Linked DNA regions of Caenorhabditis elegans. The protein of the gene in region 1 interacts with the protein of each later gene in a pairwise test. Each region holds a gene or a part of one and is shown on either strand. Other genes may lie near its edges. The genes, in order: T20F5.6 and sem-5.

What was found.
Region 2: the proteins of T20F5.6 (region 1) and sem-5 interact in a two-hybrid assay, tested with the Caenorhabditis elegans proteins (3 studies listed by BioGRID).

What each region holds. Positions count from the first base shown.
Region 1 is NC_003279.8:3,917,040-3,930,209, reverse strand, and holds T20F5.6 (RING-type domain-containing protein), read left to right. Parts: upstream 1-5,047; 5' UTR 5,048-5,086; coding exon 5,087-5,156; intron 5,157-5,559; coding exon 5,560-5,859; intron 5,860-6,095; coding exon 6,096-6,284; intron 6,285-6,421; coding exon 6,422-6,512; intron 6,513-6,562; coding exon 6,563-6,635; intron 6,636-7,341; coding exon 7,342-7,554; intron 7,555-7,601; coding exon 7,602-7,754; intron 7,755-8,297; coding exon 8,298-9,522; intron 9,523-9,569; coding exon 9,570-9,640; 3' UTR 9,641-10,004; downstream 10,005-13,170. Other genes in the region: T20F5.7 (RING-type domain-containing protein), read left to right, coding at 2,329-2,480, 3,025-3,617, 4,234-4,373; T20F5.5 (Flocculation protein FLO11-like), read left to right, coding at 10,038-10,111, 10,943-11,078, 11,136-11,765, 12,104-12,247, 12,294-12,299.
Region 2 is NC_003284.9:7,955,067-7,965,621, forward strand, and holds sem-5 (Sex muscle abnormal protein 5), read right to left. Parts: upstream 6,658-10,555; 5' UTR 6,647-6,657; coding exon 6,569-6,646; intron 6,519-6,568; coding exon 6,418-6,518; intron 6,247-6,417; coding exon 6,124-6,246; intron 6,077-6,123; coding exon 5,969-6,076; intron 5,921-5,968; coding exon 5,784-5,920; intron 5,285-5,783; coding exon 5,145-5,284; 3' UTR 4,387-5,144; downstream 1-4,386. Other genes in the region: dct-1 (NIP3 homolog), read left to right, coding at 374-544, 595-637; sfxn-2 (Sidoreflexin), read right to left, coding at 1,309-1,456, 1,501-1,603, 1,654-1,781, 2,296-2,568, 2,654-2,815, 3,086-3,231.

The DNA.
Region 1 (13,170 bases):
TCGTCTATTCGTATCTTAATCTCACGTAAAATTAATATTAATATTCTCTTTTTTCCATATAATTTTTTTTAACTAGATATCAAATTTGGTGATTCTGCAAATCATATTTTGGAAAAGGACCCAAAAATTGCTAATATCTGGAATTTCGCCCCACTTTTCCTGATCGCAGCTGCTGAAATACAGTTTTTATGAGATTTTCACTTTTTATCGCATTTTCAGTTATTTATCTCGCGTTTATTCATTAATTTTGGCATATTAAACCAAAATTAGGTGCATATCGAATTAAAATGTGACTAGATCAATAAAAACTCGAGATAAACCGCGAAAAATTGCAAAAATGTGTTCCAGCTTCCATGACAAGGACGAATTAGCTTTGGTTTTTTATTTTTATTTTGTCCCGCCGTAAAACATTTCCGATTTTTTTTCGAGAAATCTGTCTGTTGAAGCGAAAGCCCACGGACTCTACAGATTCTTATGGGAAAACGGCTATTAATTATTCAGTTTATGTACTTCTTTTTATTTCTCTTTGCTCCTCAATTTGAACCTATTCACCTAAAAAGTGCTAACACAGATCGATAATAATTTATTATAAACATTCGATTGTCTGGTGGACGGTGGGTCATTATATTGCTGCTCTATATCATCATTCTTACTCTCACAGTCATTTTTATGTGAGTTATCTTCTTGGTCACAAACACTTACCGTAACCCTTTCGGCAGACGTATATTGCTTCAAATTTACTCACTCTGCGGCTTTTTGAACATTGAGCATGTTTTTTGAGTGCTCTTCAGTGGTTAAAGTCATTGAGATTTTTTTCTGACAAATTCTTCGTAAATTTCGAAAATTTTTGAAATTTATTCGTTATAATAATGTACTTTTCAATTTTTGTTTCAATATTCTTGATTTTTTCGAGCGAGAAGTGTAAGTGCCAAAATCTATAAGGTTTTCTTTGCCCGGAATCATTAGATAACTCTTTATTGTATCTTCTGAGGCCACATTCGATTCGGCATGTATATCTGCTTATTGACAACCTCACAGAGCTCGCCGTGGTCACTTTGCTTTGAAAGACGATCAAATGGCCTAAAGGAGTACCCAACAGTAAAAATGTTACTTTAATCTAAATTGATTTCCCCGAAAAATTCCCCATTAAGTTGCACTTTTTCAGAGACTATTTCCACAATTCCTCAAAACATGTGAGCATTATATTTCTTCAAACACATTCCTCTTTTCGTATCTCAGTTGAGAGTGCGTCCTCCTTGATATGTACGACAAAAAAAAATGTAATCCCCATGGTTACCAATTCGAGTTTTATGAATCACGTATATCTGCCAAGGGTACATCTTAATTTTCGACAGCTTTGACACGGAAAAGTTGAAAAAATTTGGGATTTTAGGCAAATTGCCGGTTTGCCGATCTGCCGGAAGTTTTGATTTTCGGCAAATTACCGATTTGCCGTTTGCCGAACATCAATTCACCGGAAGTTTTTAGAGCGATTTTTTATAAAACGGAAAACTTGAAACTGTGCCTTTTTGAAATTTTTTTCCCCGTTTTTTCTAGATATTTTCATAAAATTTGCTAACTTTTCCAAATAGATGTAGGAAAATTCATAAGATGCGTACAATTTTGCTGCTTAAAATTAAAATTCTGATATTTCTAAAAAAAAAAAAGAACAGTGAAAAACCACAATTTGCCTAAAATTTGCCGATTTGCCAGAAATTTAAATTCCGGCAAATTACCGATTTGCCGCTCACCCCTGATTCTGTATTCAAGTATTGTCCGAAAATTTCGAAATATTTGCATTAATTTTTTTTCACTTTTCTTTCTCACTCTCTCGTCTCGAATCCATCACTCTTTTTCTCTCACGCTCTCTCGGTATTCTAATTTCGACGACCTTACAAGCCCTCTAGTGATCACTTTCCTGCTTCGTTCGAGGTGTTACAAGAAACCTCAATGCAATGGGCGTGTCTTGGCATACTGTATTCTTCCTTATTTTCTCTCGGTTATCTCTCTCGTTATATTACCATGGCTGGGACTTTTTTGTCTTTTTTTCTTGATATTTTGACGAAAAATTTATTTTTTGGTGTTTTGGGACCAAAAAAATACTTTCGGTACTTCAAACACTAGTCGTGTTTTAAAAACAATTTTCTAAGAAAGTTCAACAAACCGAAATTAAATTTTTTTTGGTCCCAACCCTGATCTACACCAGAAAAATGGGTATAACATTTGTTTTTTTTTCAATTTATTTTATTTTTTATTTGCGTACTCCAGGAAACGTTAAAAAAAATTTAATAATTAGTAATAATAATCATTTTCAACATTTTCAGCTAAATGGCCGACAAACTTGCCTTCACCACAGCCGATCTCGTCACATGCCTAATTTGTATTCGGGAGTTCGACACAAAAACCCGCAAGCCGAAGGTTCTCCATTGTGGTCATACAGTATGCGAGGAATGTACTGATAATCTCAGAGATTTCAATGCGTTAGTTTTTGAAATACGGGCTTTTCCTTTAAAATGCGCAAAAAATGAAGAAAAATCGATGATTTTGGCGATTTTCAACTTTTTCTAATCTCCTCATTTGAAATACCGCGCTTTTTGCTCTAAACTCCGCCCATAAAACCGTGCCGCACTTTAGCTTTTTCAATTTCGACGCAAATTGTTATTTATTGTGTTGTTTGTCTATTTTTTTTTAAAGAAGAAACAGGTCATACATGTTTTAAAAAAAGCTTTTAACTGAAATTATTTTCAAAAACGGAAAATCTTTTAAAAGTCATTTATGACCTTTTTATTAATTAAAAATTATAGAAACAGCACAAAAAATAACAATTTTGCGTCGAAATTGAAGAAAAACGTGCGGCACGGTTCTATGTGCGGAGTTTACAGACAATCGCGCGGAAATTTAAGTTGATTGAAAATTCGCCCAAATCATCGGTAGTTTTTTTCAAAATTTACGAATTTTTTTGCGGTATTTCAAAATAAAATTGGCTCTAATGCAGCTTTAAATATTAATGTAATTTTTTTGCAGGCCCCTTCTCGTTGTTCGATGTCCGACGTGTCGTCAATTCACTAAAAGACCGGTGGCAGAATCATGTAACACGAACTTCCAACTGATGGGATATCTTGCCGAGAAGGAGAAATTCGAACGAGAGAAAAAGGCGAAGGGTGGAAAACCGAAAAAACCAGATCAAGTGCTCACTCTCAAAATGGCTCGAAGTAACCGAATGGAGATTCATGTTGCATCGAAAAAAGATCTTGAAGGACCTGAATTGTATCTTCGTAAGGATTCCGAAGGAAATACTCATATTGTTGTTGCTGGACTGACGGGATCACCAGCAGAAGTTATGAAGTTTATTACTGAAAATGGAATTAGTATTGAGACGGGAGTTCTGATGCCACAAGTTGTGTATGATGAGGGTCGCACACGTGGCGGGACTGAAAAGTTTGCGAAGGTTAACAGCATGGCAGCTGGTCAATCTGCTATCAAGTGCACAAAGCCACCGGTTAAACTCGAAGAGCTGGAGTTTCATAAGACATTTGAGCTGAAAGTAAGCGAGGAATCTGGATCACTTAAGATGGAGCTGGTGCAGAAAGAAGAAGTTCCGAAGAATGGATTTGGAGGTTGGTATAGTTTTTTAAGACTGAGCCTCAAGGGCGGTGTCGTCGAAAAATAGTAGAATATCGAAAAACAAACATTTTCGATTAAAAAATTCCAGATTTTAGATTGTTCGAAAAATAGCTTTTTAGAAGAAAATCACATTTTTTTTCTTCCTTTTTTTTTGAAAAATCAAAAAAAAAATTGTTTAGAAGTTAAAAAACAATTAAAATTTTTAAATCAAATTTTTAAAAAAGTCGAATTTTTTTCTAAATTTTTCAAAGCTATTTTCCAAAAATTCGCCACAAAAAGCGAAAAAAATATGCAAAAAGAACGGAAAAATTGACCAATCAGCTTTCATTTTAGCTGAAATTAACCCTTTTTCGAAATTTTTATCCGCTATTAAAATGTTTGAGATTTTTAGTTGAAAACTTTTGCTATAAAATTAGCCATTTTCGGGTTAATATTTAAAAAAATGCCGAAACATTTTATTCGAAAAAAAAATTAAAAAATGTAATCCTTCGAAGGGCTTCTGAAAATATTATTTTTCTTTAAAAACATCTAATTTTATTTTCCCAAAAAAAAAATCGAAAAATCCCCCTTTAAATCTATATTTTCAATTTGAAAAAATCAATATTTCAGTGTTCGAAGGATGTATGACAAAACCATCTGCAAAACGTCTCAAAGAGTTTACCGACAGTTGTCCAGGCACTTCAGCCGAAGATGAAGTCCAAGTTATCGAGCCGGAGCCACTTCCAAAGCGTCGCCGTACGAGAAAATAGAATAACCTTCTCGAAGAGATGACTAGAAAATAAATATTCGGGCTTTTCATAATTCTCATCCGCTATTAGTTCTCAAAATTAGAAGTTTTAACCTCATACAAAATGATCTGCATGAAAATATTTCACATTTTATATTAAGTTTCTTTTCTCCTCCACACATTCTTGGTCTCTCCCACCTCCTCCCCGTCCCCCCTCAGCTCTTTCTTTTATCCTGATTAATTTGAATGTTTTTTTGATTCCACGTGTTCTCTTCCGTATCATTTTTCTATTTTTATTTATTACTGTTCCATTCCCCAAATGTTTTTTTCTCGTTTCGTTTCGTTTTCGTGCTCTTTTATTTATTGCTCGAATATTCGAATCGGATAGTCTTTGAGAACCCAATTTTATAAATGCATTCATTTACCTTTTTTTAAATTTATTTTCTGGTTTCTCACGTATTCTGTCGTGACTCCGTTATATTTGTATTCACTACTGTATCAGAATTCTAGGTAAATTTGCCTTTTTTCGATGTTTATAAAAATGAGTCGGCATTAGTACTGTGATTTTAAAGGTACATGACGAAAAACGACCACAAACTTTTACTCCGCTGCGAAACCATTTCGCACAAGCGTGTCCGCTCCCTTTAATGTCCTACTGATTTTCTTTTGAAATTACATTTCTTTCAAGTTTTTCAGAGTTATTTCCTTCAAAAATACACCGTTTTAATTTCTCAAATGGATCCGTTCGACATTGATGGTTTGAATGTTCGACTCCGTGACCTGCAAAGACAATTGCAAGACGACAGTAAGTTACTGAATACGAAAAATTTTGAAATTCAGTTTCCAGCGATCAATACCTGTTGCGCCACGTTGTTGCAACATTTTTCACTTAAAATAAGTGTCAAAATATGGAAAATCTCTCAATTTATCTGAAAATAACCTTTATTTCAGCTGAAGCATTTGAGAAAGTGCTTAAAAATGGCCTGAAAGGTGTCAATTGTCGATTATCGAATTATAAAACTTGAGCTTCATTTTTCCACACGTTTTCGAATGTTCAGGTGTTATTTTCAATTACATCAAGTGATTTTCTATTTTAACGCTATTTTTAATGAAAAATGTTAAAATAATAATAGTGCAATAGGTAATTTTGTAGAATTGCCTCCCACTCGTCCTTTATTTTAATCAATAAATAATATTTTTTATTGCAGTGGAAGAGTTCCGAGATATGGCCCAGATGGACGATTTTGCTCATCCGTTTGGAGGAATAGATGCAGCTATCAACGTCGATGATCCAGTAGATGATGCAAATAACGATGAGCCAGCAGCTGGAGCTGAAAATGTTTTAGACCGGGAAGATAATCAACCTCAGCCGGAAGCAGTTGCCACGCCTGACGTTCCGAAGGCAGAAAATGAAAAAGAAAAGGAGGATGAGGCGGACGATACAATTTTAACGTCGAAGGGCACCGAAATGAAAGGATTGTCGTGCGGAATCTGTTATGACCCGTTTAGTTAGTAGTTATTTGTTGAAAAACATTTAAAATTAGCCTTGACTTCAGAAAAACCAGAAAAAAAACGGTAGAAATCGCAGAAGAATGAAAAATTCAATTTTGCCTCAATTTGGAGCAAATTTGGTCAAAATTGAAAAAATCGTAAATTTTGTTTTATGGTTTTTCTAATTTTAAGTCGATTTTTAAATTTTATTAAATTAAAATCCCTTTAATCCCGCTAAAATGTAAATTTTCAGACACCGGCAAGCGTATTCCAAAAGTGTTTCCATGCGGTCACACGATTTGTCTCCAATGTATCAAAAAACTTCTCAACACCAGAACTTTTCTCGGCGGAAACACAGTCATCTGTCCATCGTGCCGACAAAATACTCGCTACAGCTTAACCACCCCGGCCGATAAGATTCCAACTAATTTCTGCATTCAATGTGAGATTTTATTTTAAAATTTGGCTTCAAAAATCGAAAGTAGTTCTGAAAAACGAAAAAAGTTGGAATTTGAGACTATTTTGAAATTTTTTGAAGCCAAATCCCTTAAAAAAAACAAAAAATCGATTTTTTTTCAGCATTGTTAGAGCAAAGACAGCAGGAGAAATCAACAAAAGAGCCGGAAGCTGTGAAATGTACCGAGTGTCACACGACAGTGAGCGCTATTGAGTAAGATTCTTTGAAAAAAATCGGTTTTTAATTTATATGAAAAATTTCAGAGCTACAACATGCTCAGACGAAACGTGCCAGAAAGAGATTTCCGAGGAAGAATTGAAGAATGTAGACAAAATTGTAAGTTTATATTTAACGGAGGCTTATGATGTTAAAAACGTTTAAATTATAGAAAAACATAGAAATTTTCTGAATTTTTATGGTTTTTAGAAAAAATTTTGCAAAAAAAAATTCTGAATGGCTGAATTATTTTTGAATTCCTCAGAAAATGGCCTTTGGTTTTTTTTTCCATTAAAAAAATAATTTGTAATTTTTGAGATATTTTTTGGTAAAAAACTTGATATCCGGAAATAAATAGCCAAAAAAAAAATCGAAAATTGAACATTAATTCAAATTTTTTCGCGGAAAAATGCCACAAATGGCGTATATCTAGAAAACGCAAAAAATATATACGTTCAGGTCATTCTTGAGCACTTCCTCCAATGCTTCAGCAGAAATAAATATTATTTTCAGATAAATCAAGTGATTTTCTACATTTTGACACTAATTTTCAATTTAAAAAAAATCTGGGACCAAAAGTGTTTTTCCTTTTTTTTTCAGAGAAAATCGAAAAATTTGAAAAAAATAATAATAAAACCTTCAGGAAATGACCCTTAAAATTCAACTTTTTTGATCAAATTGTGTTTACTTATGTTGCTGAAAAAACATAAAAAGGCATATAACTGTTTTTCTAAAAAACAAGAAAAATCACCCAAATTCTAAGATATTTTTCGAAATATCGGAAAATCGAAAAACCCCTAAATTTTCTCTATTCCATTATTTCCAGAAACGTCCGAAGGAAACCCTCATTTGTCGTTCGTGTATCGAAACGAATCACTCTACCCACATCTTCGTCTCATTTAGCAATGTGGCTGCTCAATATGAAGCGAATAAGAAGATTCTTCTAGCTGAATCATTGCTCAAAAAGAAGCTAAAAGCTGTTGATGAGGCGCTTTTAGCGTTTGACAAGACGAAAGCTGAAGCAATTGATCATCGACGAGTTAGTTTTGATATTAATTCTCCAAACGAAATAATTTATTTTTTCAGAGAATGGCAAATGCATTGGTGAATATTAGAAAGGAAGCAGATCACCCGGATTTCTACGAAAGCTTGAATAGATTTATGAGTTCTATGAAATCATCTGGAGAGTTGTTCAAGACGTTGAGCAGCGATTTGGATAAATTTGAAAATTCCTCAAAGGTATCCTTATCAAATCATCTTATTATCAGGGATATTGCAATAAAAATTTAGACCAAAAACCAACAAAAAATTGTCGAATTTTTCATCATACCAACTGAAACATAACATTTTTGGAATTTATTTTTTTGCCAAAAAACCATAAAGCGAAAGCCCTGCTTATTATACTGTTGCAAAAATCAGCGTCGCATAGAAAGAAAGGCGGGGTGTAATTTTGCAACCCTGCGGCACGGTTTTTCTCCCTTACACTGATTTTTGTTTAAAATAATTTTTGTTATGAAAATATTATTGTGAAGATATTTCATACCAAATTGGTTGTGAAAACATGGAATATCCTCACAATCTTATGAGAATTAATTTGGAATATTTTTGCATTCGAAGAAAGAAAATAAAACAAGTTTAATCGAAATTTTATTGAAAAAAAAAGAGAAAAAACCGGCCGCAGTGTTGCGAAAAAAGCCCCACCTCTCTTTCTGTGCGACGCTGTTTTTCGCAAATTCAGGGATCGGTCATTTAATTTCAACAATAGTAATAATTATCTTTCAGGCTCGCTACCATCGCTCGTTCGGTCGTGATGTTCTCCGTCCAAGTGCTTTTCCACAAGAGACGGATGGTTCCAAACAAGAAGTGAAGCAAGCACCCGCCCCTGTACCAGTTCCTCCGGCACGACCAAGACCTGGCCCAGCTCTCAATCGTGAGAGATTCCGAAGACTTGGAGCAGTTGGTGGTTTTGTGGTGCCAATTGTTGGACGGGATGCAAATGCTCCTGGAGGAGTTCGACATTTGGCGAATGAAATCGACGAATTCTTAGCACCAAACGATCAGGGCCTAGCGGCTCATTTTCGACGAATCTTTGGAGATCTTCCGGACGATGATATTGCTATTGATGTTCAGATTGCTGCTGCTGCTCCAGCTGGCGATGCTCCCGCTGCTGGTGGTGGTGATGATGCTGTAGATGGTGCTGGTGATTTTCTTGGGCCTGCTGCGGATCTTCGTTTAGCTGGTGCTGCTGGGGCTCCACTGAATATTGCTGATCGTATGTATCGAAGACATCGAATTGCTGCTCGAGCGCAGTTGGCTGCTCCTCGCCGTGCCAATCGTAATGGAAACAATGTTCGAGATCTTCGAATGGTTCGTCACCACATTTTCCGTGCCATTGCTCAGAATCCGGGATTGCACAGGAACGATGCGATTCAACAGGCTATTGACGGTTTACGAGATTATATTTGGAATCTCGAAGGTCCGTACGCAAGAAATCCTTTTGAATTGGATCAAATTGATATGAGACGTGATTTGGATAATGCACAACAAAGATTGAATCAGTTGGGTGCCAGGCTTCAAGAACTTGAAGGAAATCTTCGAGCAAGAGACGATCCAGCTCAGGATGCTCCATGGCATGATGTAGTTGTCCAAGAACCTCTCAATCCGCTCCCACCAATTCAAGGAATCGAGCAAGAAGTTGCAGATAGAGCTGAGATAGCAGAACTTGTCAATCGAATCATGGGAATGGTTCGCAACGAGGCAGAAGCCGAAGCGAATGCAAATGGACAGCGTGCACCGAAAAACATTGAGATGCCTGCACTACTCAATCCAGACGCCAATCCAGATGCTCCAAACTTCAAAAACTTGCAGCCATTGCAAGTTCAACCATATCTTCGTGACTTGAGAGCTTTAGAGCTTGAATGGATTCAGAAGGCGCAAGACAGAAGAGCTCGCGGCGGTGCTCAACCACCTGTAGAAGATGTGGAGCAGAATCCTGTGGTGGAAGGAGGTTAGTAATAGATTCATTTTAAACTTTTAAATATTTCATGTTTTCAGGCACAGACGCCCAACGCCGCGCCGTGTCGCCTACCCAAGACGAGCCTGCTGCAAAGAGAAATCGTCAGTAAACTGGTCTTATTAATTATTCTTTTTCAAGTCAATCTTAAATATTTTATTTATGTTTTTTCTTCTGTAACTCCCCCCTCCCAATTCCTGTCATCATTATCATTATCACCAGTGGGATTGTACCCTTTTTCTATTCTCGTGATCGTATCTCATGTTCATTCCGACTACAGCTTTTATATTTCCAATACTATTTGTGAATTCTAAATAGTTTAATTTGTTCTCTTCTGTATCCGCTTATCATCAATTCAATTTTATTTAGAAATAATTTCAATGAGTGTTTAAAAAACGCGTGAACCCTTTAAAAAAGAATCTCCCACTAGTTCCACAGATCGTGGAAATAATCAGTTCTCAATAAGAAGTTTCTTTATTTTGTCAAAACGTTCAATTATCATCGGCAAAATGAACAAGACACTCGTTTCGACGACGACTGCCAGCAATACTACGATAAATAGTGCTGATTTGAGGAAAGAACTGTGAGTACTGAGAGAATTGAGTTTTCAGATTTTATTCGAGCAATAAAGCTCACAGTAACGTTATTGCGCAATTCTCTGTAACGCGGACTTAAAGGCGCGGGGACATGCTCGTAAGGGTCTCGCCGCGAAAAATTTGAATTGTACTTAAGCCGTGCTTTTTCATTTATCTTTTTTCTCGTATGATTTAAAACCTGCGAAATTTATTATGGGGACGCAGAAAAATGCCCCTTTTGAAATAACGCGCCCTACTGCCAATTGAAAACGCTCCGCCCGCAAACCATCGTTGGGTATTTGGCGGTATAACCGTTAATTCAATCAGCTTCAATGAACTTCTTTTTTAAAAGAATTTTATGCCGAAGTTGGCGAAATAAATAGCATTTTTAAAAGTTAATTTCGGCATAAAAGACAAAACCGAAAAATGCTTTAAAATTGGCAAAACTCATCGAAAATGTTGAATTTACGACTTTGCAGCCACTTACCTAACGAGACCCATGGTTCGGGGCGGGGCGTTTTCGATTGGCGATGGAGCGCGTTTCCATTTCGATTTCAAAGGGTAATTTTTCTGCGGCTCAATAATAACAAAATCGTCGAAAAAACTGAACGTTTTTCTGCCGGAATTCCAAAGAAACATAACAGCTCGTAATTCAGAAAAACGCACAATAATTAACGATTCGTGGCGAGACCTGCCTTTGCAGCTACATAATTGTATGCATCGTACTTGACGCGCAAATTCAAATATTTAGTGACGAAAACATACACTAAAGTGGTTTCACTAAATAATATAATAAAACCTAATTGCACTGAAAATAACTAAAATACTCAATTTTTCAGCGACAAAATCAATGAAACCTTATCATCAATCAGCGCGAAAGAGGTCCTCTTCATCATCACTCTCAGTTTTTTGGCAGTTTTTGCCGCCGTCAATATGTGCCTTTTGATTCTGGAAAGAAGAAAGAAAAAGAAACAGGTGAGCAGTAATTCCTACAGTATAGCGAGCTATTTACCCAACAACACCTTTTTTCAGAACTCGGTTCCCCAGTCCATCGTAATCCAGCCGAATAATGCGAAACCTGTCAGTAAGCCGGGCAAAAGTGACAAGTCAAAAGTTTCATCTGGATATGAGAAAGATGTTCTTCCATCGAAGTCTATGAAAATGAAAGTTTCCATTTCGCCTGATAAATCTGCTTCCAAGAAGTTGCGTGTTCCATCTAAAGAGTCTGAAGACACTCAGCCAACCAAGTCAGATGCATCCCAAACTGAAAAGTCAACAAAGAAGCCTCCAGTGACTCTTGTTGAATCTTCGGCCGATGTGACTACCGCCGTTGAATCGATTTCCTCACAACAACAACTCGCTCCAGCTGCTCCAGTGGCTCCTCCGCAACTCACTCAAGCTTCTCCGGCTCCTGTTGCTCCAGCCGTATTAGTCCCGGAAAAGGAGAAGACTGCAGACAAGTCTCAATCGAATGATTCATCAATGACCTCGTTTACGGTACCAGAAGAAGCCACATTCAATCGTTCAAAGAGCCAAAGTACTGCACCAAAAGAGCCCACTCCAGCTACTCCAACTGCTACTACTCTCTCCGGAACTTCATATGTCAGCACTACAGGAACTCCGGAAGCAATCAATGTGATCACTGCTAAGGATGTCACCCAGGTATCTTGAGAGAAGCCTGCGCCTACATGCCTACCCAGAAATCCGTTCCTTGATGTTTGCAGAGTATTTTGTATTTCAAACTAAAACTTCAACCTAGAAATAGAGAAAAAAAATTGAGCACTGTAAGGCAGGCATAGATTGCCTTGAAAGGAGGAACCCTTTAGCCTTATGGTGGAAACCACTTACCTTTTGGCTTCAGTTTTGAACCTCTCCATTGGTTATTGTAGTTTTTTTTTTTAAATAAACCTTCTGCCGAGTTCTGCTATCCTTACTTACGAGTAGAACATGAAAAGAAAATTTCAGTAACACAAATATTAAATTAGTATTAAATATTTCAGGTCAAGTCCCCAATGTCCCCAATGCCCTCAATGCATACCCCAGAAGCCGCCCGTACCACGGAAATCCGTCCGATCTCTCCGGCTCTTCCATCTGCTGCTCCACTACTCGTTATCACTACTCCACCACCAAATAGTGAGAAAAAGGTGAGAAGTTACCATTAGTTAAATGTTTATTATCGTTTATTTCAAGATTTGAGGTGTTTTCAATGTTTCCAACTGGATGCGGTTCGTGTGTCTGAAGAAAATCGTCGGTTCTCAAGATCTCTAGTTTATTGTATTTTTGGCTTTGAATAAAGACATTTTAGTAGTTTTATTGGTATTTCACATGTTTGCCTACCTGCCTTCAATGCAACCTATGCCTACCTCAAGCCTACACGCGTGCCTATAGCTAAAGAAAATAAGCGGTCACCTGCAGACTTGCCTGCGTACCGTCTGAAGAGGAAAGAGAGGAGCGGGCTTATCAAAAATAAATCAAGAAGTTTTCCGCGTTGATACAGGAATGCCTGCCTTTAAGGTAACCTACGCCTGAATTCTGCCTATCAACTTGCCCATCGCTAAACTGAACTTTTCATTTCTAAATTAAATTTTAAATAAAACGCAACAATCTACACTGCCAATACCAAGCACAGAATTTCCGCTAAGAAACTGAAAACATATCATAGGCAAGCAAAGAGGCATATAGGCCTTAAGACGTGCATGTTTACCTTTAAAGCTCTAGCGGAGCAGGTGCATCAAAAATCCACAGAACTCTGCCTGCTTCCGTGTCTACTTCTAGAGCAATATTTTTCATTTCGAATTCACTCCAAATTACTTGAAATTCATTAATCTAGACTGAAACCGCACTAGGAGGCGATAGGCAGGCATAAGATAATCCCCGTCACTGCATGCTTCAAATAACACTTGAAACCGAATTGGAAAAAAATTTCTACAGTACTCTTGTGTATGCTGCCAATGTACTTGAAAAAAATAGTGCTTCACAAAATAATAATATTGCAATTTCCCCTTTATTTCATTGAAATTTGAATGAATGAAAAGATAAATTCCTTTTTTTTCCATCTTCATATTTC
Region 2 (10,555 bases), on another chromosome or scaffold:
AATTTAGAACCAGGGATGCGCTGCATTTGCTAACCAGCAGTTCTACAAAATAAGCCAGCATGGCATGTTCTCAAAATAATTCTAAAAAACGCAGATACATTGTTGAAAGATTAAAACTGCTAGAGAAAAGTTACATAGTTTGTCGGACTATTTTCAGTAATTTTCAACTTTCAATCTAAACTAAAATATGTTTGCTAATTGAAAATTTTCTAAAAGAGATTTTTTGAAAATACTTTTATATTCCATACCTAAATGTTACTGAAAATATTGGAAGAACATGTTGCAAGGTTCAATTTGTAGAATTGCTAGTCGACACCCCTGCTCAAACCATACCGATTTTATTCTGTGTTGAAAAAAAAAACAAAATTTGCAGGACTGTCCGTATGGTTCAATATGGCTCCAACCTTACCACTCCGCCAAACTCTCCCGAGCCAGAGCTCTACCAATACTTGCCATGCGAATCTGATTCGCTTTTCAACGTTCGCGTAGTCTTTGGTTTCTTAGTCACCAACATCTTCAGCTTTGTCGTTGGAGCAGCAGTAGGGTAAGTATTTTTTTCAGGAAATTTCTTCCAGAAAAACTGATTGTCTTCAGATTTGCTGTTTGCCGGAAACTAATCAAACATCATCGTCAATAATTCCAAACAAAAATTTTAACGTTCCACTTACCTCATTTCACTGTACATACATTCCAGCAGTGCTGGAGATTGGGCATTTTTACCCTTTGATTCACAATACTACATTCTCTGCAAAATTCTTCCGGAGTCTTCTTGCATCTTGTCAAAAAGATTCGAATAAACAATAATTTTGCCATGTTTCCCTTCTCTCCAAATTGTCATCTTTCAAACTGTCTCCTGAATATTCCTAATACTCAAAACATTCCTACTACAGTTTTGAATTCAACACATCTAATCGCGATTTGCTCTCACGATTAGGTAATTTTAAATTAATTATGTACATAATATAGCTTTATACACTGAATGTAATTACGACTTTTTCTTTGCTGTTACCTGGGCATTTTGATTCTGAAACTTGCTTTTCCATGTTTTTCTGTCATCACAAATTGTAAATATTTCTAAAATACTGTTACAAAACCACGCATTTTAATAAAATGTAAATATATTTTTGTTTAGTTATGATTAAATTTATTATGCTGGAATTTTTAAAAACTGATAAGTAGACAATTGCACAGATGTTATTAATTGCACAATTCAAGAAATGTCTACAACGAATCATTCTAAATACCAATTTGCACGGAAATAAATTAAGCTGAAATCTATGTTTAGTTAACTAAAAGCTCATAAATCGCTTATAATCCTTTGTTGAAGTACACTCGATCTCCCTTGATATTTTTCAGTTTTTCAAAGGCTTCGGGCTCCCATCTTTTCAATGTTGAAAGCTTCACAGAGTTTTGCTGAGGGAAGAGAGCGCATCCGACAGGAATCATTGCACCATAACTAAAATTCACATTTGTTGTCTAGAAATATGACTGCTCTCTCACATCACAAAAGTTAAAGCCAATTGAGTTGGAATGTTGAGTTTGTTGATATGCTTCCGGAATGAGGCCACTTTGTTCAAGCCTTCCATGATGACAGGAGTGAGGACTAAAATGAGGCATGAAGCATGACAGGAAAAGAGTAACGGCTAAACTCACTCATGCATGGGGCAACGATAATATTTCTGGAGAGAACCACCAGGGAGATGGCTTTAGCTGCGGCTAACCGGGAAACTCCAACGTTGTTTCCATCGGCATCAGTGACAGTCATACCTTCTTTGAGTTCACTTTAAAAAAATGATTTAAAGAACTTTTTGAAGAGTCAACATTTCCACTATTTAAATTCAACTCATAAAATTATACCCATATGCCAACAATAACGTGAAAAACCTCAATTTATAGGTCAACACATTTCCGAATTTTTTTTACGGTTTCTAGTTGAATACAAAAGTAGATGGTCTTCAGTTTACAAAATAAAAATACCATAATGGTTCAGCTGCAACATCATAGACAGCCTTATTTTAGAAAATCCAGTTTTTCATTGACCTCTCTTCATTATTAATAACTTATTGCATATAAGAAAAAAGTCAAAAGCGGAATGATTTTAGGAGTTTTACGTTTTGATTTTAATTTTGAATGGGTTTCAAAATAAATCACTGATAAGAAAGCAAACTTTAAATTTCTGTACTCCTAAATTTCAAAGCTTTCAGATTCAGGGCTACAAAGTTAACCTCGGATTAAAAACATTTAAAAACTTGGTTGAAACTAAAAAATACTGATTATTCTCTAATAAGTACTCACTTCTGACGCATCATAGGGATGTTAATAGCATTAGCCACTGCAACGGCTCCCAGTGGTACTAATCGTTGAGCCAAAGGACTGCTCTGTTTCTTAGCAAAATATGTTTTCAGCCCAATTGCCATTGCCAGTGCTCCAGACACTGCTGTAGAATACGATACAACTAAGTCTTTTGTTGTCAATGTGCTCTTTGCATTTCGATTGGTATAATTGACCAGTGCATTAAATGACTGATTTGCCCATTGCCAGAAAATTACAGCTGGCGTCGATTTGTACCTGGAACAGTAATTGGTTTACTTACTTTTATACTTTTACTTACTTTTACCTTTTAGCTTACTTTTAGCAATACTTTTTCACTTACCAGATCATCATTGCACCACACAGCATTGTACCACCCCAGACGTTGAAGCACATCCTTCCAGCAAAGTTCTGAAGTTCTCCAGTATCCGGATGAAAAGCTGATTGACACAGACGTTGCGAACGATGAAGTTCCTCAAGTGTTGCCGGCACTGGCTTCTTCTCTCTGTAAACGTTTTTTTTATTTTTGAAAAAATTTCTTCAAAGATATTACAAAACTGTATTTAACACAAATTTTGTGAAATTTTTAATGTTGCTTGAATTACTTCAAACTCAGACCCTTAAAGCTCTTATATCCGTTATTTCACTCTAAATACTTAAGAAAAAATACAGCTATTGTAATATGTAATTTAACTTTTTCTGATAATAAATGTTTTGGTTAAATCAAAAATTCAATTTGTTTTACGTGTACAGCCTAATATTAAAAAAATTATACCTGCATTTTTGCATTAACTCCGATGCAGTAATGAGTTCTGTTGTTGAAGAAAATGCAATCAGTGGATCTGTCATTCCAGCGAAATGCCGCAGTCGGCCGTAAAATGTTGATTGATCATATCGTGGCTGATCTGGGTCAAAAGCCATGCCTGGCTGAACAAAAAAACGTTTTTTTAGAAAGATAATCAATGGGAAAAAACCAATATACTAAATTTAAAGAAGGACGAAAACATAAACGAGTGAGACTGGCAGTTGCAAAGGTGCAGACAAAATACGAAAAGGGAGCAGGGATAGTGAGCACACGTGTTTAAACGAGACTTGACTTGGCTTTTGCGTGGCATAGAAACGTTTGGCTCATCTCGAGTGCCCTTGAAACATGATTGCTTTTTGCGTTTCGTTTGAGGTTTTCAAAAGTATTATTTTAAAAAAAGGAATAAAAATTTACTTTATTTTTTTTCTTTTTGAGCATAATTAAAACAATAGGTGAAACATGTTCAATTAAATTGCACGTTGCAGTTTTTTCCGTATTCATCAAAATAAATTCAGCCCGACTCCTTTTGGAAATTTAAATCCTGCCAATTTTGCTCATAAACAACTTGCATACATTTCAAATTGCGAATTTTTAAAAGGTTTTCAATGCAAAAAATGTTTTCCATGGAATATAATTACGTCAACTGAGCATCAAGCTTCCAATTGTCGTTTTGAGACTATAAAACGGTCTGTAAATTCGTGATATCACGAAACAACGAATATATACGGCTTTATATTGTTACGTTTTCTTTCAAAATTCAATTGTTAATCAAAGGTGTGGTAAAGCAAAAGACATTAACGTTGCTTTAAAAAAATTGAGAGCACTATTGCATTTTTGAGACTCACAAATTATAATTTAAAAAAATAACTTAAAATTTAGAATAAATTGTTATCTGGTATATCCAAGAAATAAGTAAAGACGGCGCGCTTTTTGGTTGAAAAAAAATTGATTTTTAAGTTCGAAAAACATACCACTTCACCTTTTCCGTTGACAAAAGATTTCACAACCCATTACGCTCATTTTAATTATTATCATTGACTCGTTATAGAATTTTAACTAATGGTTTAATTTCGTTTTTAGAGCCGTATAAACTTTAAAACTAATCGGAGAAGACTTTTATTAAAATTCGAAATGTCTGAGTATTTTGTTCAAACTAGCTTGCAAAATGTGAAAATGTCATTAAAGGAAACTCCACATGCAAAATTTTCCAGATAAACTACTTTGCATCTACAAATTATGTTCTGTAAAAATTATAGAAAGTGGATTAATATAATAATTATTAACCTTCATTGATTTACAAAGGGATTGGAAAATACTTGACAAATTCGATATAAAAGCAAGACGGCGAGTAAAGTGGGAGGCAGAGAGAAGCTTCATGATGCTCTCGACAAGAGATTGAGCCGGAGGAATAGAATGAAGTGATAAAACTATATCAGAACAGTGTGAGTTGTGATAAAACCGAACAATGTAGCACCGAACGAAAAATCGTATTGGTTTTGGATGAATTGCAAAATGTCAAAAGAAAAAGAGAGACAATGACGAGAAATGGCAAATAGTTATGACAAAAATTGCATGAACACAAAAAAAAACAAATGCGAACAGTCTCTGAGTATTGTGTCAGAGTATCTAATCGCTTAATAGATCCGTAATAGAATTGGTGTGGGGTTGGAAGAAAGCGGGAAAGAAAAGGCTGTTGATAACACAACAAGAATTGTATCATTGCCAACGAAACCGAACAAAAAATCGATAAAACATTGCCAATGGCAGTTCCAAGTTGCAAAGAATAAAAACATTGAAAATTCATGGTCTACATGTAAAACACGAACAACTTATCTCAGTTTTGAGAAAGTTGTGAAATTAATACCCAGCATTGGAAAGTGTGTTTGTGACAAGATTTAGTGATTATTATTGGAGATTAAGTAAGAGAGGGCTTATTAGACTACTATGTCAAGAACAAATGGTATAGAAGAAACATTGAACGCTCCTTTTAAAGAACGAACAGAGACAGGAAAAATCCTAAAATAACGTCCTAATTTCCAAAGTTGAAGCCAGGAGCCACGTTGGAGTTGCTCTTATTGCTATTGTAAGGGCATACGTAGTTGGATGGGAAAATTCCACGCCTGTTGTTCAGCTGTCCTTCCCACCAGTTTGGATCGTCTTTGTTGATCACTGAAAATAAAATATAAGAGATTTTCTAAATGTTTTATTTTTCGGGGTTGCTCAACCCCGACAAATAGATGATCAACCGATTAACTCTATTTTTACGTTGTGAACATTCATAATGCTGCAAATTGTATCTTGAAATCCAATGTTTCTCCGAAAAGTAAATAATAGCCACAGAGTTTTTTCATTTCAATTTGAGTTTATACAAAAACTAATCTAACAACTGATTTTCAATACGTGCATTTATTTGTTCCAGTGAAAGTTAGTTTAAGCAAGACGTCTCATATTATCTTCCTAGTACTTTGTATTACCTTTTTGTTATTTTTATGGTTCTTCTTAAATATTCTTGTTTTAAGATCTATAAAGTGAATAGTTTCAAAATTTTCGAAATACAGTCCAAGATATATCCATTTTTACCATTTTCAATTAAACCTAGAATTTTTTGATTCAAACTTTCAATTGAACATTTTAAAATCATGAAAATTTGTGTTTCAAAAACACTTACAAGTGATAACATCTCCTCTTTTGAAAGCTAGCTCTCCACTCTCCTGTGGGTTGAAATCAAACAGGGCCTGTACAAATTTAGTCTCCACATTCATATCTGACAGCAATATTGTGTGAGTACGCGAAACAGAAGCGGTTCTGAAAATTATTGATTTTTTACTTTTTTTTTGAAAAAGTGTGACTCACCTGTGATAAGCAACTAATTCATTCAAAGAGTTGAATTTGACAGCCCACAAGTAATATTTACCATTTTGATCACGCAAAACTTTGAAATGTTGTACAGAATCTTGGAATCTGGAAAAAAATGTATAACTTTTTGAAAATCTATAACATCTTCTTACCGAACACTGATCGAAAATTCTCCTGGACTACTTTCACACTGTCGGACAAGGAAATGACCATCACGTACGGTTGGCTTTTTCAGCAATACTTCTGCGTCATTTCTTGTTATTTTACCAAGGTACCTAAAAATCCAGAAATTTTAAAAATTGTTTACGCAAGCGTTCTCAGTTCTTCGCGCCCTAGCTGCGGGGTATACAAACAAAAACCGCGAGAAGTAAGATCGACTGATTTTTAAAATATAAGCTTATAGATTAAATCCTCAAAAAAGTCAAACTATTTTTTCCCGAACATACCAATTGCATTCAGTCATACGAATATAATTAGAAGGAATGAATCCTTCATTTCCATCCAATTCAGCTTTATACCAATGTGGATCTTCATCTTTGTTCAAAACCTGCAATTATTGATTTTATCAGGGCCCGGTTATGATATTGTTGAACAAACTTTTAGCGTGTTTCCTCTCTTGAAAGACAACTCATCAGGTGATCCCGCCTGGAAATCATGCTCGGCGACCGCCTCCATCGTCTCGCTACCTGAAATATACTCTTTGCAGCTTCAGAAACAATTAACACCAAAATAAAACATAACAGAGTACATTGAACAAACATTGTTGTCAATAAATTGGCCTGCTTGAGAGACTGTATCTACATATCGACATATCCGCGCGGCGCCAATGAAAAATTATTAGAGCAATAAAAAAATCTAGCGGCAAAGCATAGAGGAACAACTGAGAGGGAAAATGAGAATGAGAAGAGCGTAGTGCAAATTGTAACAGGAGATGAGTAAGAGGACCGGCGAGAAAAAAGAAGGATAAATGAAATTGAGAAACGCAGAACGCAAAATAAAAACCCGCAGGGTCACTAGTTCGGTGATTGAGGTGGTTTTAGTTGAGTGTTTGAACGTGAAAACGGGGAAACAGTGGAAACAGTAGAAACCGGAGAGTAACAAACCGGGGCAACACTAAGTGTCGTCGATTCCGGCGCATTGTATGCAACACTAAATGTGCCGAATGCTACGACACTACTTTTCTCTAATACTCCAAATCTATCACGCGTTCTTCGTGTCTCTTTTTTCTCTCCCATCTTCGCACTGTCTCTATCTGTCTCTCCCACACACACACAAAAACAACGGCGAGTTTGGGCAGGCCGGACCGTACTGTTTTCCGCAATGAGTTCTGTAATTTACATGGTTTCAAATGGAGATTCAGAGAAAAAAGTGCGATACGCTATCAGCAGTCATCATGCACGTCTTTTCTTACACTTTTGAATGAATGGCCGGAGAAACGGAAAAGAACAAATGAAAAGTGATAAGAGAACACGAGAAAACGAAGAAGAAAGAATCAAATTGAAAATGCTCCAAGGCATTGGGTATTGCAATTCATCGATTAGAAGAATGTCAACAAACACACTCCCACCTTGTCCTGTCCAGCCTGAGGTGACTAACCGTCTAGAAATCAAAACATTTGGGTGTGCTGGGTAGTCAGTACCGATTCTCTTTTCAAAAATAAAAATGAAAACTATTTCGGAAATAGGGCTAGAGATGATAAATTAGATAGGAAACATAAATAGATTGCAACTTCAATCAAATTTTTGAACTTCAGTTGCTGGAAAATTATTTAGCAGTTAAAAAATTTAATGAAAATTACGAAATAAGACTATAATTTAACCGATATAAAAAAGATAATCGAACCTGTGACAGTTACTCATAAATACTTGACATTTTAATCGGTGAGTGTACGTAAATATAATAAGGAATAGTGTTTTCTAGCTGGAAACCAACTGTATTTACTACTAGTTAGTTTGACAAATGTGTATTTACCTGACTAATACAAAATCGTAAGAACAGTATCTATAGTAAAACTAATATATGACTGAAATTAACTTTTTTAAGAACCAAAATATTAAATTTTGTCACTGGTTCTTTAAATATATCCATATAACTTTTCTGAAAATTCTCACTGTTTTACAGTGTGAACTTCCAAGAGCAAGGTTATGTGACTGATTTGTCAATAAATTTACTAGGTTCCGTAGTCGGCAACTCGTGGCCACTTCTCAACCTACTTTGGCCACTTTCTAACTGCCATTAGATTTCCACCACTTCCCACTTCTCGACCAACTTTCGTCAACTTTCACACACTTTTTCTAGTTGCTTAGAGCGTAAAAACCCTGTTTAACCAACTTTTGCCACTTTTGCAAATGACAGTTAGAAAATGGCTAAAGTTGGTTGAGAAGTGGCGCCGATTTACCGAATAGATTAACATTCTCAGTAAAACATTCTGAATTTGTATCGTTAACAGAAACTTAACCCAAATTTTAAATTTAGGGTTTCACTTCATTTAGAGGCTTGAAAACATTGCCTCAAAGATGTGCGACATATTTCTCTTGGAACATTAGATAAACTCACGAAATACCCATTTCAATATTGTTGGATTGCGCCTTTGAGGCAGTTTTTGAACACTTTCCTAATTCTTTGGAAATGAGAAAAAGGTTATTATCAAAAAACTAAAAATGCTTCTTTAAAATTTTATGTAATTTTTTGATTAAAAACTTCGACACAACAATAAAACTAGTATCTTGTAATTGTGCAGAATAAATGTTGAAAATTTGCGTTAGTAAAAGAAACGTTTTAGCATCGAACTCCAGAAATTTTAATTAAACAATTTAAATTAAAAGTTTTATTCTATTTACTGAGGGAGGGCGATATCACCAGAAACGCAATTTTAATTGGTACACAATTCATTTAGAAAGAGCAATATTATGATTTTTACGAGCTGTAAACAATTTTCATTTGTACATTATCACAAAAACAAAACGATAATGTTTCATACAGAAAATGGAACTCTGCATCGAAAGAAAGAAAACGAATGGATGCTTAGGGGATTACTCATCATCTCGGTTCAGAAACAGACACATTCATCTGTCACTTCTTCTCTTCCGAAAACTTATATTGACAACGATCTGTGTATGCATACACGCTTAGCTAAAAAGTGTTGAAATGCGCACTCCAGAATGATTTGGTTTGGATGCGAGATGAATCACTCTCAACACTAGTGCGTAATGTATACGGGGGGCCTTGCTTGAACACATAGAAATGGAGGGTTCTTGTGAATAATGGATACTATTGGGATGTCGAGAAGAATGAATCTTGCTGGTTTCATATTGCACCTATTTTACTAATTTCAAAATTTATTCCTACAACAAAAGTACTAGTTTTACTTTTTTGAAGTTGCAGTGCATGCTGATTCAAAATGGAGCATGCAGTGTTAAACTATTCATATGCAAATATAAATTTAAACGAATGTACATCACTTCTAAAATGAAATATCGAGAATGCACATGGAGTGTGAGAAACATAATAATCGCGAGGAGTGGCCACCAGCGACGACTATTCAATTTCAAATAGTTGCCGCGAGATAGGAGCTCTCTTCGGAGGAGCAAAATTTATGAGAAAAAGTAGCGGAGTTTCTTTCGTGGCTGGTCAGCGCGCTATTCTGATGTTTTTCTCGTTTCAATTGAACTTCATTCTGTGACAAGCAGAGTGCCACCTGTTTTTGTCAAAGTTCATATTGGAGATAGTGAGGAAATGAAGCGATTCGCTATATTGATTGAATTAGCTTTCAAGTGTCTTGGGGACATGTGGAGTGAACAAGCAATGTAGCATTTAAATCGTTCCAGAATTTTAGACAAACACTTTCATCCAAAAAAGAAAATAACATGGTTTTTAATAATTTGATATGGAACTTTAAAGTGAAGAAGCTTTCAACAATTGATTTCAAAAATTTCAAATAGAATGACAAATTGTTTCAAATTTCATTTTTAAAAGGAGGAGCAGACCCAGTGGGGAAACTGAAAAAAACACTCATGGTGCGAAGATGACCAAATATTATATTAAAACATTTAATTTTTTTTTTTTTGAAATTTTCCAACTTCGTTTCAAAAGGTGATGATTACTCAGTTTTTCCTACTTTTTTGGAAGTCGTCGAGCGAAAAATTTTTTCTCAAAATTCGTGGTCTACTTCTGTTTCAAATATTAATATTCAAACATTGCAGGGTTTCAAACATGCGACAGTGCTGTAGTTTTCTCGAAAAATGACAACAACTCACTAATTGCTATTTGTGACTGTCAGTATAAACTTGGGTACGATTTAAAACATTTTGTCGTATTTTAAGAAAATCATTAACAATGGATATATAAAAATGTTAGAAGTAATGTCGAAACTAACAAAAAACGGCAAATGGTATTTCTGGTCCCGTTGTATACTAATTATCACATTTCAATACGGCGTTTGACTGTCTGGCATACCCTAGACCACCTGTTGACAAAAATCGGCTTATAAGATCAGGATTGTGGCGGAAAAATTTGATGGCCAAATGTCTGTTGTGCCCGCGATATGTGGTAGGTACACGATGGTCAAGAAAGGCAAAAAGAGGG